Linked DNA regions of Alligator mississippiensis. The protein of the gene in region 1 purifies or fractionates together with the protein of each later gene. This does not show direct contact. Links are inferred from orthologs where the notes say so. Each region holds a gene or a part of one and is shown on either strand. Other genes may lie near its edges.

Region 1 (8,030 bases):
AAACCCAGTGGGTATGAGCCAGCATCTCCTATACTATGTTTGCCTGTGGTTCGGGTCTCCCCACTTGACTGATGGGTGAGGAGATGGTGAAGGCTCTGAGCATTGACAAGAGACACTGGAGCCAGCTGACAGTTCTGAAACAGGCTGTGAGACTGGAACAAGCACTCACTGAGCTGACAGCAATAGCTCCCTGCAGGTAATTACAGGCAACACAGAACCTGGCTGTGACCTCTCTGATCACCTAAACACCCCAGCAAATTTGGGGGAGCAGGAGTCATACTCTGCTCCTCTTCATATACCTAGGCCATTCTGCCTTCCTCCTGCTTGCAGTCTACTCCACAGATGTGCTGAGACCCCAAGACAGCAACTTCCACTGCATTTGGGGATGAAGAGAGAGAGAGAGAGAGAGAGTTTGAGCACACTGTCCTCTTTGGGAGGCATTCTACTTGCAGTGGCAATCAAGACACTGCTCGTTACCCCATTGGTCAGGCTGGTGCCCAACCCTCAACAGTTTTAATTATCAGGCCATTTGCTGCCTAAATGTGGATGTTTGCTGCCTAAATGTGGATGTTTGAGCCTAGCCTTCAGTGCCCCACCTTTAAAAATCCTGCTTAATTTTCAGCTCCTCAAATTAATAGATATTCTTGAAAATGCTGAAATTAGCTGCTCTGAGCCTACTAACTGTGCAAAGCAAATATAAAGTGCTACTATTCTAATCTGGTAGTGCATTGTTGCCTCTTTGCAACCTTAACTATGGACAGGTGAAGTGGAGATTCAAACCCAACATGTCTACAAGAATATAGGATTCATCAGAAGCATTGTGCTAAGTATGATATCAATTAATTGAAGGTTGATATCCCTGCTTGGCTGTATTTAACCTCCATGTAAAATGGGAAGGTGGTATTAATTATTTGTGTTCTGGTAGCAACCAAAATGTACCATGTGAGTTTATTAGAGGGATTAGATGATGTGGCTATTCCTAGTAACAAAGGGACTGAACTTGATGACCTTTGCACAAGTCCTAAAGATCCAGAGTAATTGAGACAAATCAGTCAAATCTTATGAGTTGCCTAACCATTGAATCTCTCTCTCCTTAGGTACATGCAACTCCCAGTGCATCATTGTGAGATTCATAAACAGCCCTTGTTAGTTTCTTTGTATACGTGTAATTATTATTAATGTGACATGTGACAATATGCAACTAGTATCCCCAAAGTCACAGTATAATCCAAAGGGTCTTAAAGGTGCACCATAGACAATACCATGGCAAGGAAGTTTGGTGCCTGGGGCCAAGCCCGCAGTGGTAGCCCACCCTTGCCCCACACAAAGATCCAGGGGACACGCCCTCCCCCCATGCTTGCCTGGGAGTGCATGCAGTGACAGGAGCCGCCCTCCCCCCATCCCCGTGCCCCCCAAAACGATCCACTCATGACTCCGTCCCATGCCCTGCCCCAGCTGGGCAGCACCTGTTGGCACCCCTTCATTTCAGCACCCAGGGCAGTCGCCCTGCTCGCCCCTCCTTACTACGGCACTGACCATAAACATTCACAGCATCCTCCCAGAGTGCTGTATCAACAGCAGGTGACTGGTGGGCAGCTACATGAATTCTCCTGTAAGCCCCTGATAACAGGGAAGACCTTTTTACTGTTAACCAGTTTTTCAAAGTAATGTTATCTTAATTCCTTTATTAATTGTGCATTTTCTTTCCCTTTACTACATGGTACCAGAATCAGAAGCACTGAGATGCTGCTTTTATCACCATTGGGTTCTCTTTTAGAAATGTCCGATTCCTATCTTCAGTATTAGATGTTGTTTGGAGAATCTACTGTTGTTTTTTACCTATGTGCAGTTTGTGATTTATTTTAAACTGTTCTGAGCCTTTCTGGATAGGGCAGAATATAAGTACTATTATTATTGTTGTTGTTTTTGTTGTTGTTAATAATAATTATTAGTAATGCTTTTGCAATCTCTGCCACTAAAATTTGCCAGGCTCCACTAAAACAGTATTTTCCATTCACATCACAAATAATCACAGATTTTGATTCTCAAGTTTCCACTGTAGGTGTTTGGTCATCTGACCACTTCAACCGTGAAAAAAAAAATCCCTACCATGCAAATGTGCATGTCTAAGTGATGGTGGAAATTTTGTTATAACTGACACTGCTTTTCTCCGTATGTCTCAAATTTGTTCCTTCCAGTTAGTGGCATAAAATAGACAATTAATTGTGGTTTTAAAATGACTAAATGTATAGTCTCCATTTTCTTTAAAATTCTTCCAAGCAGATGGTTCCCATCTCTCAAATGATTTTACAGCAATCCTGGGAAAGATAGGAAATGGGACACACATCCTTTTCCTTTCTCAACAGGTTTATGCAATGTGTAAGCTGCCACAGAGCAACAGTGAAAAAAACAGACAGCTTTCCACAAAAGGAGTCAAAAAGACCTGTGATCTCAATGATTTTCCTCTTTGCCGCCATTCACCCTCATTTTATGCATCTGTGCTTCAGACAACGCGCCAAGTATTTGGCTACATTAATTCTCCATCACTTCATCTGCCAACCATTTTTCTTTTATTTGTCTGTCTCAATTAAACTTGTTCAATGGTGATATATTACAATCCAGAGTTTGATGCTTTCAGCTTGCAAAGGAGCTGAAAATATTAGGAACCCAACACGCAATTAAATTCAATGGAAGCTGGGCTCCCAATGTCAGTCTCCTTAGAAATTCCCTGCCTAAATATCCTGAAAGAAAGAGGCTTTCTGTTTTTTAAAATTGTCTTACCTGAAATAGTTACTTGCGGCAGCAAGGACCACACGGTGGCAAGAGAATTCTATGCTGTCCACACACAAGATTACATCTGTGAGAGAGTTTTCCAGCCGGAGGTTCTCCAGACCATTCTGAAGAACCATAGAGAGCCCAGTGTCATCAAACTTGACCTTTTCACCATTCGAGACTTCCACAAGGTCCCCCATCTTCCTGGAACAGTCATTGTCCAAAGAGACCAGAGGCTCTTCAGAACTTTTCTCTACCGTGTCACCCATGTTTTAACCAGCACCGTGTCATTCCGTTGGTGCTTCAGTCTAAAAGCTCCTAAGCTTCAGACGAGTCACACTACAGAAGTTAAGCGGATTTCCTGTCCAGGGCTCTCTGCTTATCTATAGCTGTCACACACATACAACAGGAAGCCTTGCACTTTCTCATCCTGTTAACACAAACAAAGGCTGGGTTTTTTTTCTTCCCTGTGAATTTCAAGTAATATCAGTGTGTTTAGAAAAGGACTCAAGATGCTTCTGGATGTGAGAAGATTACAAGTGACAGGGAAGGCCTCTTTCCCAAACTGAAATTGATCTGTCTTTACTATCCAGATCCACTTGTCCACAATGATAGGTGCACTGTATGGCTTAGCAATCCCTTAACCTAGCAGTGAAAGCAGCTAATAAAAGCTGCTTTTGTAAATTAAATCTCTTTTTCACATATGATTTTTAAAATGTTAATAACTGAGCTGACACCCAGAAGTTTTTTTTTTAGTGTATTCTCACATATTCAGAAATATCTGTTGATTGGTATTGCTGTCCCTTATTAGGTCACAGAAGTGTTTGGCATATGTTGGAAATAATTCCTTTTAAGTTTCTGTAGTGAAGAAGCATTTAACTAAACAGGATATATATATATATATATATATATATCACACCTATATAAAAATATCTTGTTTAGTTTGGTAATTGTGACAAGGGGAAGATCATGTGGCCAATTGCAATGCTGGCCCACTCCTCTGTCTAGGGCAGTCTCTCCTGTCTCACCTGCCATGACTTGCTGTTTAATAATACAAGATCAAATAAGCGGGAGTGTGGCAGGGCACTGTAGTGCCTGCCACTTTAAGGGCTGAGACAAGCAGCCAGCAGGTGCTTGATTGCGGCAGCCATTTTAGATCCCTGGCCATCTATATAGACTGAACAGTTCACTGCTGGCAGCCCAGGCAGTAACATCACTTGGCTGCAAGGCTGCTTGGAACATCCTGGAGATAAGGGAGGAGCTGTAGGGGATGGCTAGGAGGCTCCTGGTCCTGGTCCTGGTCCTGGTCCTGACCTAAAACTGCACCCTGCTGGGAGTGGGTGGCCTGGTGGGGCTCTCAGTGGCATGGGAGCCCCCAGGAAATACCAGGCCAGTTACCACCCTGCTGATAGGTGGGTCAAGGCGCCTTAACCCCTAGCCCCCACATCATTGTGGGTACAAGGGGGCCAGGCACAGCTATAGCCACCTGAGCCCAGGGAGGTTGTAAGACCCAGAAGGGGCCAGGCATGGCTACGGCCACCTGAGCCCCACCAGGGAGGGAAGCCCTGTAGCCCCAGTGAGGGGGTGGTGATGTGGAGCCCCAGTGAGGAGGCAGCACCAGTGAGGGGGTGGAGATGCAGAACTCCAGTGATGGGGTGGGTGTGGAGCCCCAGTGAGGGGGCAGCCAGAGGGCTGGGAGCCCAGTGTGTGTGTGTGTGTGTGTGTGTGTGAGGAGTTGCCAGGTGACATGGGGCAGAATTAGCCCAGGGTTTGGCACAAGGCCAGACCACACAGAGTAGCGGAACTCACAGGAACTGAAGGGACTGCATGGCAAGACCACTATGTGAGTAGCAAAGCCTGGTGCCCCAGAGGGGTCGCTTAAGCAGAAGCAGGGCAGTGGAGTATGGCCCAGTAACAGGAAGTATGCCAGAGGCCCCAGTTAGAGAGGGGCAGAGTGGAAGAGGCCTCCTGTGAGAAGGAAGGTGATATGAGTGTGCGTGTGCATGGAGCCCAACTGTGGACTTGGTTTCCTCTGGTCTCAGGCCAGGAGTAATTATGTCACCATGTGAGGCATGGGCTGTAGTGTAGGGGAGGAACAGAGCCGCAGATATCACCCCCCCTGGCATTGGGGCAAGAATGGGCAGCCTCCTGCCTTAATAAGAACCAATTAAGAAACAACAAGGTGTGGCAGCTGAGGAGGTGGGTGGTTGGCCCAGAACAGGTGGGCGGGCCAATGACGGATTGGCCTCAGTGATCTTCCGAGGTCCCTTCCAGCCCTAATGTCTATGAAATCTATGAAGATTCAGCCTGATTTGGGGACCAATTTTCCAAATCAAATCAAGTAAAAGCTCCTAATCAATTCGAAGCATCCAAATTGATTCAGAAAAAGATTCGAAAATGATTCGGCCATAGACTAAAAAGCTGACACAGCTGCCTCCAGCTGGTAAGTCTGTTGGGGTTAGGTAAGGGGCGTGGGAGGGATTGGGGCTAGGACAAGCTGCCCAGCCAGGATGGGGGGTGTAGGACTCAGGGAGGGGGCAGGGAGGCATGGGACGTGGGTGCAGCAACACTGGGAGTAAGGACTCTGTGCTGCTGCCACTTGCCTAGCCGGGGCAGGAGAGGGGAGGGGCAGGATGCAGGTGTGGCTCACTCCAGGTAGAAGGGGGCAAGCAGCAGCAGAGCATAGCCCCCGCTCCCAGAGCTGCCGTGTCCACATCCCACATTCTCCTGTGCCAGCTGGCAAGCAGCAGCAGCAGCACAGAGTCCCAGCACTGATGTGGGCGCAGCAGTGCTGGGAGCAGGGGCTCTGCCCTGCTACCCTCCTCCCCCAGTAACATTCTCCCCCTTCCTGGTTGGGCAGTATGTCCCAGCCCCAAATCCAACCCCTCCTTCCCCCACACCCCTTCCCTCCCCCACCCCCAACCCCAACAGATTTACCAGCTGAAGGCAGCTGTGTCAGCTGCCTGTTTAGTCTATAGCCAAATCTCCAAAGAGGCACCAAATCTTTCAGATCTGATTCAGCTGAATCCAATTGGGACAGTGATTTGAATCTCCGAATCAAGTCACTGTCCTCCAAATGGGCCAAATCTGAAGCAAATACTTGCCACTTTGCATGGGCCTATTAGATAGATAGATAGATAGATAGATAGATAGATAGATAGATAGATAGATAGATAGATAGATAGATAGATAGATAGATAGATAGATAGATAGATAATTGAGTAGTTAATGAATGGTGTTAAATAACTTAGAACATCAGGGCACCCTGCAAGGCTTATCTTCTTCCCAACCCACCCAGTTATCTTAAAATGGAGGGAACTGTAATTTTAGAGAATGGAAACCCTTCCAGAGAAAATTGTAATGGACTATGTTAAACTATGGCATTTAGGATGTGTTTCTAAGCTGAATCAAGACAGCCTAGCATGTATAGATGAGATTTCTAGGACTTCGTGTTTTGTAAATCTGAATAGAATCATGGTGATTTATACTGGTTGATAATCTGCAGCACATCTAAATTTTTAACAAGGCATTAATATTTTTCCATTTTAATAACTTATTTTATATTTTGCTCTTACAAAGCTCTGAGGTAAGAGATGGAATATATAGTTAGTTCCTTTATAATACAGTCCTTAACTATGTTAGCTTTCCTTCTTTAATGTACAGCCAGACACTTCAGTTGAAGAGAATTAAATAAAACCTGAACAGTTGTGATATATAAATAAAAGGGTGTAGACAAGGAATTGGAGTCTAAGACTTTAATATGTCATTCTCAGCCAAGCTGACAAAAGTTGAGGAAGTCGGTTCACCCTTCTGTGCCTCAATTTCCCCATCTGTAATATGAGTCCAAAACTTGCCTGGAAAGAGCTTTTGCACTATTTTTATTTTACAAAATATTCCATAGAATATATGCGCACACACACTGAACGGTTCCATCCTGCTTCCCATTCAGTCTATAGTCACCTGCTGAGTCTTATTTTATACTGTGGTTGCACTGTAAGGTGGGCAGAAAACTGGCTGAAGCATCAGGCTTAGAGTATAGTAATCAATGGCTCAATGTCTAGTTGGCATCTGGTATCAAGTGGAGTGCCTCAGGGGTCAGTCCTGGGACTGGTTTTGTTCAATATTTTTATCAATGACCTGAAAGATGAGATAGAGTGCACCCTCAGCAAGATTACAGATGACACCAAGCTGAGGGGAGTAGTAGATACACTGGAGAGTAGGGTTAGGATTTGGATAGACCTAGATAAATTGGAGGACTGGACCAAAAGAAATCTCATGAGGTTCAGTAAGGACAAGTACAAAGTTCTGCAGTTAGGACAGAACAATTCCATGCACCAGTACAGTCTGGGGGCTGACTGGCTGGGCAGCAGCTCTGCAGAAAAGGACCTGGGAGTTAGTGTCTATGAGCCAAGCGTGTGCCCCTGGTTGCTAAGGCAGCTAACAGCATACTGGGCTGAATTGGTAGGCATGTTGCCAGCAGATCAAGCAAAATTATTATTCCTCTTTATTCAGCACTGATGAGGCTAAATCTGGAGTACTGAGTTCAGTCCACTACAGAAAGGATGTGAACAAATTGAGGGGAGTGAAAATGGAGGGCAGTGAAAATGGTTAGGGGTTAAGCACATGACTTCTGAGGAGAGACTGAGGGAACTGGGCTTATTTAGTCTAGAGAAGAGAAGTGAAGACTAAAAAGGGATTTAATAGCAGCCTTCAACTACCTGAAGGGTGATTCCGAAGAGGATGGAGCTAGACTGTTTATAGTCGTGGCAGATGACAGAACAAGGAGCAACAGTCTCAAGTTGCAGCAAGGGACATGTAGGTTAGATATTAGGAAAAACTTCCTCACTATGTATATAGTAAAACACTGGAACAGGTTACCCAGAGAGGTTGTAGAACACGGATGGGCAATTATTTCAGGCGGAGGGCCACTTACTGAGTTTTGGCAGACCATCAAGGGCCACATGACAGGCAGCCAGGGGCAGATAAATATTAATATTCTAAATTTTTAGGGGTCCCATGGGCTGGATAGAATGGCCTGGTGGGCCGCATCTGGCCCGCGGGCCGCATTTTGCCCACCCCTGTTGTAGAATCTTCCTCCTTAGAGATTTTAAAACTTGTCTGGACAAAGCTGTGGCTAGGATAATAAGCTTTGGCGACGTCCTGCTTTGAGCAGGGGGTTGGACTAGGTGACCTCCTGAGGTCCCTTCCACTCCTAATTTTCTATGATTCTATGATTCATTAAAGGAAATGCTGAAAGA
Region 2 (7,879 bases), about 32 Mb from region 1:
CAGTGCTTTACTGGCCTCCTAGTGTGAAAGTTTTTCCTAATATCTAACCTCAACTTTCTTTGCTGCAACTTGAGACAATTGCTCCTTGTTCTGTCATCTGCCACCACTGAGAACAGTCCAGTTCTGTCCTCTTTGAACCCCACTTCAGGGAGTTGAAAGCTGTTATTAAATCCCCCCTCAGTTTTCTCTTCTCCAGACTAAATAAGCTCAGTTCCCTCAGTCTCTCATCATAAGATATGTGCCCCAGCCTCCTCACCATTTTTGTTGTCCTCCACTGAACTCTCTCCAATTTGTCTCCAACCTTTCAGTAGTGGGGGCCCCAAAACTGGACACAGAACTCACCAGTGCTGAATAGAGGGGAACAATCACTTCCCTCAATCTGCTGGCGATGCTACTACTAATGCCATTTGTCTTCTTTGTAACAACGGGACACTACTTACTTAAATTCAGCTTATTGTCTGCTGTAACCTACAGGTCCTTTTCTGCAGATCTGTTTAGCCAGTTAGTCCCCTGGCTGTAGCGGTGCATGGGATTGTTCTGTCCTGAGTGGAGGACTTTGCATTTGTCCTTATTGAACTTCACAAGATTCCTTTTGGCCCAATCCTCCAATTTGCCTAGGTCTCGCTGAATCCTAGCTCTACTATTCCTTACAGGTGATGAAGATGTAAGTGACTGGGTATTTAAGCACGAAACAACTGGAACAGGAAGACCTTAAATCAGCCAGTGCTTCCCCTAACACCCTGGTCACATCAACCACTGGGCTGCCTTTGGGATGAAACTTTGCTTGGAAAGTTTCAAACATCATGCAGGTGTCACCCAAGGAAATAGACCGAGACATCCACAACAAATCACAGAAAAGCAGGGGCGAAAGGAACCTCCACAGGTCACATCTAGTCCCACTCACTGCCTAAGGCAGAATCATCCCTGTTCAAACTAACCTAGACAAATCCACCATCTATGTTATGCCCACTGCCTAGTAAGATTGAGGCACCCTACTCCTGTCTGCTTTGGGGGTCTCTAGTAACACTGAAGCAGGCAGGGGAGTGGTGTCAGGTTGCAGTCCACCTTGACCCGACCCTGCGTGGTGCCTCCCAAAAACAGAAGTGTGTGGGGCAAGTGGAACATTTATGTTTCTGGGAGGGGTGCAAGGGTGGGTGACTGTGTAGGGAGGAGGGGAGATGAGGAGAGCTGTGGCATGAGTGGACTCCCCTGGCTGCTCTAAGCTTCACAGAGACCTCAAGGAGGCAGGAGAGCATACTAGCTTGGCTGGGCAGAAGGTACCTGGGGACCTTTATCTGCCCTGAAAGAGCTCTCATAGCACCCCAGGTGCTATGTCACCCAGCTGAGAAGCACTGGGTCAGAATCAGGACACAACATGGGAAATTTGGAGGAAGACTCTACTTGTGCCTCCTACCCATCTGTGGCGATATCTAGTTGCTTTTCTCTCTGATGCGTTTTAAGAGTAATTTGCATTTGCCTGGGGGTTTGGATCAGGTGACCCCTGCCAACCCCAGGGCTCCAGCATCTACCTGGTCCTTTGAGTCTCGTGGTAAATCATGATTACTGCAGTCTCCTCTCTGCAAGCACCTCAACTCTCCCCTTCAGCACATCCAAACCACTGCTGTCAATCCCCCTCCAACACCTCTCCCTAGACTTGACTGCCACGACACCTGTCATCTTCCTCCAATCCCTACCAAAACCATCCTGCCAAGGGGAATGCTTTTGTACCAACCTAGCTGCAGCCAGATACCATGGGGTGGGTGAGACAGTTGCCATGCTGGCCAGCACAGAGCATACTCTCAATGTAAAGCAACTGGAGCAATCAATTGCCCTCAATAGATTCCACGTGCAACATTTCCACTTGGATTCCCAGGCACAGATTCAATGCATGTGTTCAGTCATTTCACTCATGTGGGAACCCCACTGTAAGCAATGCAAGTGCTGATCTGGGAGCTGTCTCCCACAGCATTTTTACCAGTTTTCCCTGAGTAGGATGCTCAGGATGCAGCTGGAGAAGTTACCTGGTTGTGTTGGCAGCAAAAACGACTTGAAGAATGTGGCGGGGAAAAGGAATAAATGCAGTCACTGGGTATAAACGACAGGATCAGAAGGAAGCAGGGTTGGAAGGAATTTCATAAGGTCCGTAATTACAGAGTACAACACACAATAACAAACACACGCTCGTTACCTGCCTGATGACAGGTTCTGCTGATGTTGTGTGACCCATATAGTGCATTTGCATACAGGGCAAGGGCAGCTGATGACACCTACACAAGCCCTAGGGCTGACAGTGCTGTGAATACTGTTCCCCAAGACCTGCCCGGCCTGCCCCTGCCAACTCCTGTCTGCTGTGTGGGTCTCAAGCTGGCCACGCTGGATATTTTGGCAATGGGGGCAGCTGGGAGAAGGGAGGTTAAGGGCCCTGGTACCAGCCTTTAGACAAGATATGATTGTTCTGACTCATGAGACAGCTCATGACTCTGCCGTTTGCTGTGCCAGGCTGGAAAGAAATTAGATACGCTCCCTCCTTTTACTGCTACACCTGTCAGGGGGTTTCTAAACCTTCTTAAGGCTCAGAAGCACTGGGCGCTTGGCTGCAGCCTGGGCTGGGGATGGCGCTGTGCCAACGGTCCTGCTGGGACCAAACCTGTGTCGGGGGCGACTGTGTCATGCGTTCAGGGGAGGGAATCTGGATTCACCTGGGCTGGTTTGGTCAGGGCTGATCCTGCCTCAGGCTGGGGGCTGGACTGGATGGGCCCTCCTGACGTCTCTCCAAGACACCCCTCTGTGACCCTATGAGGTCATCAGTAGGTTTCAAGCCACCCTTCTGTGACCCTATGGGGGGGCCGGGGGAAGGAGGCAGGCGCGAGTCATCGCTAGGTGCCAGGGCTGGCAGGGGCCGGGGGTTACCTGTCCGACCATGGCGCGCGCGGCGCCGGGCGGGAAGCCGAGCCGGTCGGTGGGCCGGCGCAGCAGGCGGTAGAAGTCGGTGCGGCGGTAAAGGAAGCCGAAGAGCACGTGCAGGAACTGGCGCACGCCGCCCGCGTGCTGCAGGATGCCGAGCAGCGCCTGGTCGTACGCGTCGGTCAGCGCCGCGCCCGGCTCCATGGCAACGGCGACGGCGGCTCCCGCGGCCCGGCGCTTCCGGTCCGCCCGGGCACGCGCCCAATGGCTGCCCCGCAACACCCGCACTTCCGGCCGTGCGGCGCTCCACTTCCGGTAGGTGGAACCCTTTCTTCACCCTAAGCCGTCCCCCCCCTTATTTCCGGCTCACCCCGGTCCCTTAACAAATGGCTTCCCCCACTTCCGGTCTCCCAGGCCCCCTCACCCAATGGTTGTTTCAAGTTCCTTACCCAGTGGTATCCCTCCACTTCCGGTCTCCCCTGTTCCTCACCTAATGGTTCCTCCAATTCCGGTCACTTCCAGTCCCTTGCCCGAGTTTCCTCCAGCTTCCGCCCCGTTAAGTGCTCCGGCCATCCCTGAGCGGGCGCGGCGGCGGCGGGGGGTGATGGTACGGGTCCAACCATAGTGGGCATAGTGTGAAACATTTGCTGCCTGATCCAGGGTTACCGTATTTACAGTTTCAAAAAAGACGTGTGTGTGTGTGTGTGTGTGTGTGGGGGGGGGTGTTATATGATTGTAGGGGGCAGCGATATCCCCTCATTCCCAAGCCACAGCCCCCAGCCCTGCTGCTGCCCCTCGCTCCCAACTTGCAGACCCCTGGCACAATCTGTGCCCTGCATTTGCAGCTCATAGTCCACCGCCGCCCTGGTGCCACTCGCTCCCAAACCACAGCCCTGCTGGTGCCACTCACTCTTGACCTGCAGCCCCCTGCTCCCCGCAGCCCTGCAAGCATCTCACCAGTGAGCACAGGCACTGGTGCAGCTCTGCCACCTGGCTCTGCGCTGCCCCTCCCCAGCTCTCTTCCACCACTGGAGGAGCAGGTGCCGCGTGGGGGCAGGTTGGGGAGGGATGCTTCCATGCTAAGCTAAGCAGAGAAAGGAGGGCTCAGAGGCTGCAAAAAGCCCAAATTTTGGATGTTTGTTGATGTTTAAAAAAAAACCCTGGATGGAGATGGGAGGACCCAAAAAGAGGACGTGTCCAGGAAAACCTAAACATATGGTAACCCTCATTTGTCCTGACTACAGCAATGGGCATGCAGGTTGGAAATCCCTGGGCAGGGTGTGCCTACATGGGAGCCTCAGGGTATGACCTGGCCACCACAGATGGATGCACAGACACGTGGGTGAAGGGATGCAGCCCGCCCTGCCCTTTGGCCAGATCTTCCCCATGACCTTGGCAGCACCCAGTCCCCTGCAGGAGGCCAGGTCCCCCCCGGCACCATGATGAAGCCGCTTTGTGACACCCTGACGGCTGGTGGGCTCAGCCCCTGCAGTCCCTGGCAACATGGGATGCTGGAACCCGGGAGACAGATGCCACCAGCCTGTGATAGCAGGGAGGGAACTCGGTGTCGCTCCGGTGCAAGGAGCTGGACTGCAAGACCCGTGCCTCCACCAGATGCCTCTTCTTGCCTTGTCTCAGTCCTGCTCTGTGCCTGGCCAGAGGCTGATTGTGCTGTCCCCGTGGTTCTCACTGTGGGGTCTGCAGCATGTAGAGGGATCCCTGAGACCCTCTCCAGGGTGTCATGTTGTCTTAGCACAGCTAGGGTTGCCAACACCAATGCCTGAGTTGCAAGAGAAACTCAGGGATTTCACACAGGAATCCAGAGTGGCCAGCCCCGCTCCTGCCCCGCCGAGGGCTGGCGGAGTTCTTTGCCACACGAGAATGATTGGCTCTATAGAAGTTGTCAACCTTTTTTCTACCAGAACCCATTTGTAAACATTGATAGCCAGTCCTGACTCGGTGCCCCTCACTCCCAACCTGCTGGCTCCCACTCCCAGTGTGTGGGGCAAGGGAGGGGGGCATGGGGGGCCCCAACCAGCCCCTTGCAGGCTGGAACTCTGTCAGCCTGAGAGGGAAAGCCCACAGATTCCCAAGTTTTTCTCCTTGAAAGGAGAATCCATTTTTAAAGTTTGTTCGTGACCCTTTCATATATTCTTGCAATCTACTTTTAGGTCGTGATCCATGGGTTGAGAAATGCTGTTCTATAGGGTTCTTCCCTAGTCAATGCTAAGAGGTTGAAAGCCACTGTCCTATACCACACATACACACAGAACCCAGGATGAGAATTGTCTTACACACCAACACCCTGCCCCCCCCACCCCCCCCAAGTGTCTGGGACACATATAAACAAAGAACCCAGGGTCCAGGACACACACACACATGCACATGCAGAGAGAGCCCCCACCCTGCCCCCCACACACAAAGAACCAGGGTTGAGAATCATTGTCTTACACACACGCATACTTCCAGGTTTTTCTGGACATGTCCTCTTTTTTGGCCCCCTGTCCTCATGTCCGGGTGGGTTTTGAAAATGAGAGCAAATGTCCGGGCTTTTACTCGGGTGAATTTGATATCTTTTATTAGACCAACCCAAATGGTTGGAGAATAGGTCTTTTACTCTTCCTTTGCTCTCTCAGGTTGGCTGCTTAGGGCTGGAAGCAGCAGGCAAGGTGATTGGCTGTCAGGGGACATGTGCTCCCCATTCAGGCTGGCCAAGAAAAGGGACATTGTGTATGTGTGGGGGTGTGTGTGTGTGCATGTGTGCAACGTGGGAGCTGCTTGGGCAGCAGGGCTGGGGGGGCAGAGTGCTGTGGGTTGGGAGTGAGGGGCACCAACAACACTGGGGGGCAGGGGGCTGTGGACTGGGAGTGGGACTGGCAAGGCTGGGGGGGCAGGGGCTTAGGAGTGTGGGGCAGAGACAGGGCACAGGCATACCACTGCCCCCCCGCCCCCATCATATGCCCCTCCCTTCTCTCCCCCCCTCCTTTTTTTTGATACCGGAAATATTGTAACCCTACCCAGGACACTCCCCACAGCCCCCCAGATGTCTGGGACACACACACACACACACACACACACACACACACACACACACACACACACAGCAGGTGAACTACCTGCAGGCATTTTGCCCCCATGGTGGGGGACTGTGGGGGTGACATGACCACCACAGAACCTGTCTCCTGGCATATGGCCCTGGTGGCACGTGCGGGGCAGGTCCATGGAGCAGCTAGAGCTTGGGTAACAACTTTCCATAGCTGCTCCCACCAAGCCTGTCTCAGCAAGTCCCTCCCCCCCACACACAACTCTTAGAGGCACTCAACTTGCCCCAGAACTGCTGCCTAGAGGGACTGACCCCTGGAGATGGTCACCACAACCCAGACCCCTACAGCAGCAGCTTGGCAGCCCCACTGGAGCAGGGGGGCTAGGCACTGTTACATCTTCCTCTGCCAGTCGAGCCATGCCCAACCATCCCTCCTTGCTGACAGAGGCTCGGGTACTGGGGGATGGTTTCAGGGGTTTATTCCATGGCCCCTCCCTCACTTCTTGACCTTTCCCTGAGCGGCGACTGCCTCCATGGCTTTGCGAACGGTTTCTTCATCGCCCAGAAACTGCATGGGCTTGGTGGGCTTGAGGTTGTCGTCCAGCTCATAGACGATGGGGATGCCTGTGGGCAGGTTTAGCTCCATGATGGCAGCATCTGATAGGCCTGTGGGACAGAGAGGGTCATGGGCTGGGGGTGAGGTCTGGACTTGGGGTGGGAAACATGCCAGGCACCTTCTGCTGGAGTGCATGATGGGCCCCCAGCTCTGGGGGGAGTGGGGTGGTAGGGAGGGTGCCTTGGGGGTAGGAGCTGCCTGGTGGGGGCAGAATCTGGGCGCCCTGGGGGCTGTGGGGCAGGATCTAGGTGTGGGGGAGCTCCCAGGCCCCCAACAGGGGGCACTGTGGGGACAGGAACCAGCCGGGGGGGGCAGAATCTGTGTGCCGGGGGGGGGGGCAGAAGCCAGCTGTGGGGGCAGCTCCTGGGGGTCCCCAGAGGTCCTGTCCCTTTCCACCTCCTTGGAATCCTGGTGACCTTTAGGCCTGGGGAAAGGAAACCAGATCCCCTGTTGGGGTGTGTGGCTGCTGGCTAGGGTAGGGGTGGGGGCAGGGGGGCTCTGCAGGGAAACCTGCCCCTTCCCGCTGAGCCTTGAAATGTGAAGCCCGCCTGGAAATAGCAATGACCTTCAGTGAGGGTCATGGAGCTGCTGGCTCCAGCTCCCAGCCCTACCCTGGGGAAACTGAGGCACAGGGCAGGCTATGCCACCCAGGGAAAGGGAAACTGAGGCATGAGGCGGGGCAGGGGCTCTCTTCATTCAGTGCCAGGTGGCAGCCTCCCTGGCCTCATGGCACCTCTAGCCTTCGCTCTGCCAACTCCTGCCGGACCCCTCCAGCTATTCCCAGTGCAGTGGGAGCCCAGCACTGGGCAGACTGGGTCATGGGGACCTTGTGCCTGCTCCCAGTCAGCCTGGGGGTTAGAAGAGATGCCCTGCAGGGGGTCCAGCAGCTGCTGATCCTGGTGCTGGTTGGTGGGGATATGCTAAAGGTCACAGGTCAGGGTGCAGCCCATAGCGGGGAGGGCACAGTGCTGGCGCAGGGCCCAGGCAAAGGTTACCAGTAAGTGATAGCCCCGGGCACGGCCCAGCTGCCTGCATCCCCCATGCCAGGGCCCAAGGCAGGCTGGGCTGGAGCCGCGGCAGCCTACCTTCTAGATGTTTGACAATGCCACGCAAGCTGTTGCCATGGGCAGCAATGAGGACCCGCTTGCCGGTCTTGATCTGGGGGGCAATGTGGTCATTCCAGAAGGGCAGTGCCCGGGCAATGGTGTCCTTGAGGCTCTCGCACAGTGGCAGCTCTCCGGGCTTCAGATCTGCATAGCGCCGTGCCTGGGGACACATGCAGACACCCCATTCAAGCACCAAAACCTTCCTCAGCT

Evidence for each region.
Region 2: the proteins of KLHL6 (region 1) and NUDCD3 purify together in Homo sapiens (affinity purification with mass spectrometry; 3 studies listed by BioGRID and IntAct, counting the BioPlex papers as one, with this or other methods). This does not show direct contact. The link is inferred for Alligator mississippiensis from reciprocal best matches to the Homo sapiens genes KLHL6 and NUDCD3.

Annotation. Positions count from the first base shown.
Region 1 is NC_081830.1:41,875,969-41,883,998, forward strand, and holds the start of KLHL6 (kelch-like protein 6), read right to left. Parts: upstream 3,105-8,030; 5' UTR 3,042-3,104; coding exon 2,782-3,041; intron 1-2,781. UniProt on the Homo sapiens protein: Involved in B-lymphocyte antigen receptor signaling and germinal center formation.
Region 2 is NC_081830.1:9,893,030-9,900,908, reverse strand, and holds the start of NUDCD3 (nudC domain-containing protein 3), read right to left. Parts: upstream 3,188-7,879; 5' UTR 3,109-3,187; coding exon 2,911-3,108; intron 1-2,910. Other genes in the region: phosphoglycerate mutase 2, read right to left, coding at 6,444-6,613, 7,649-7,829.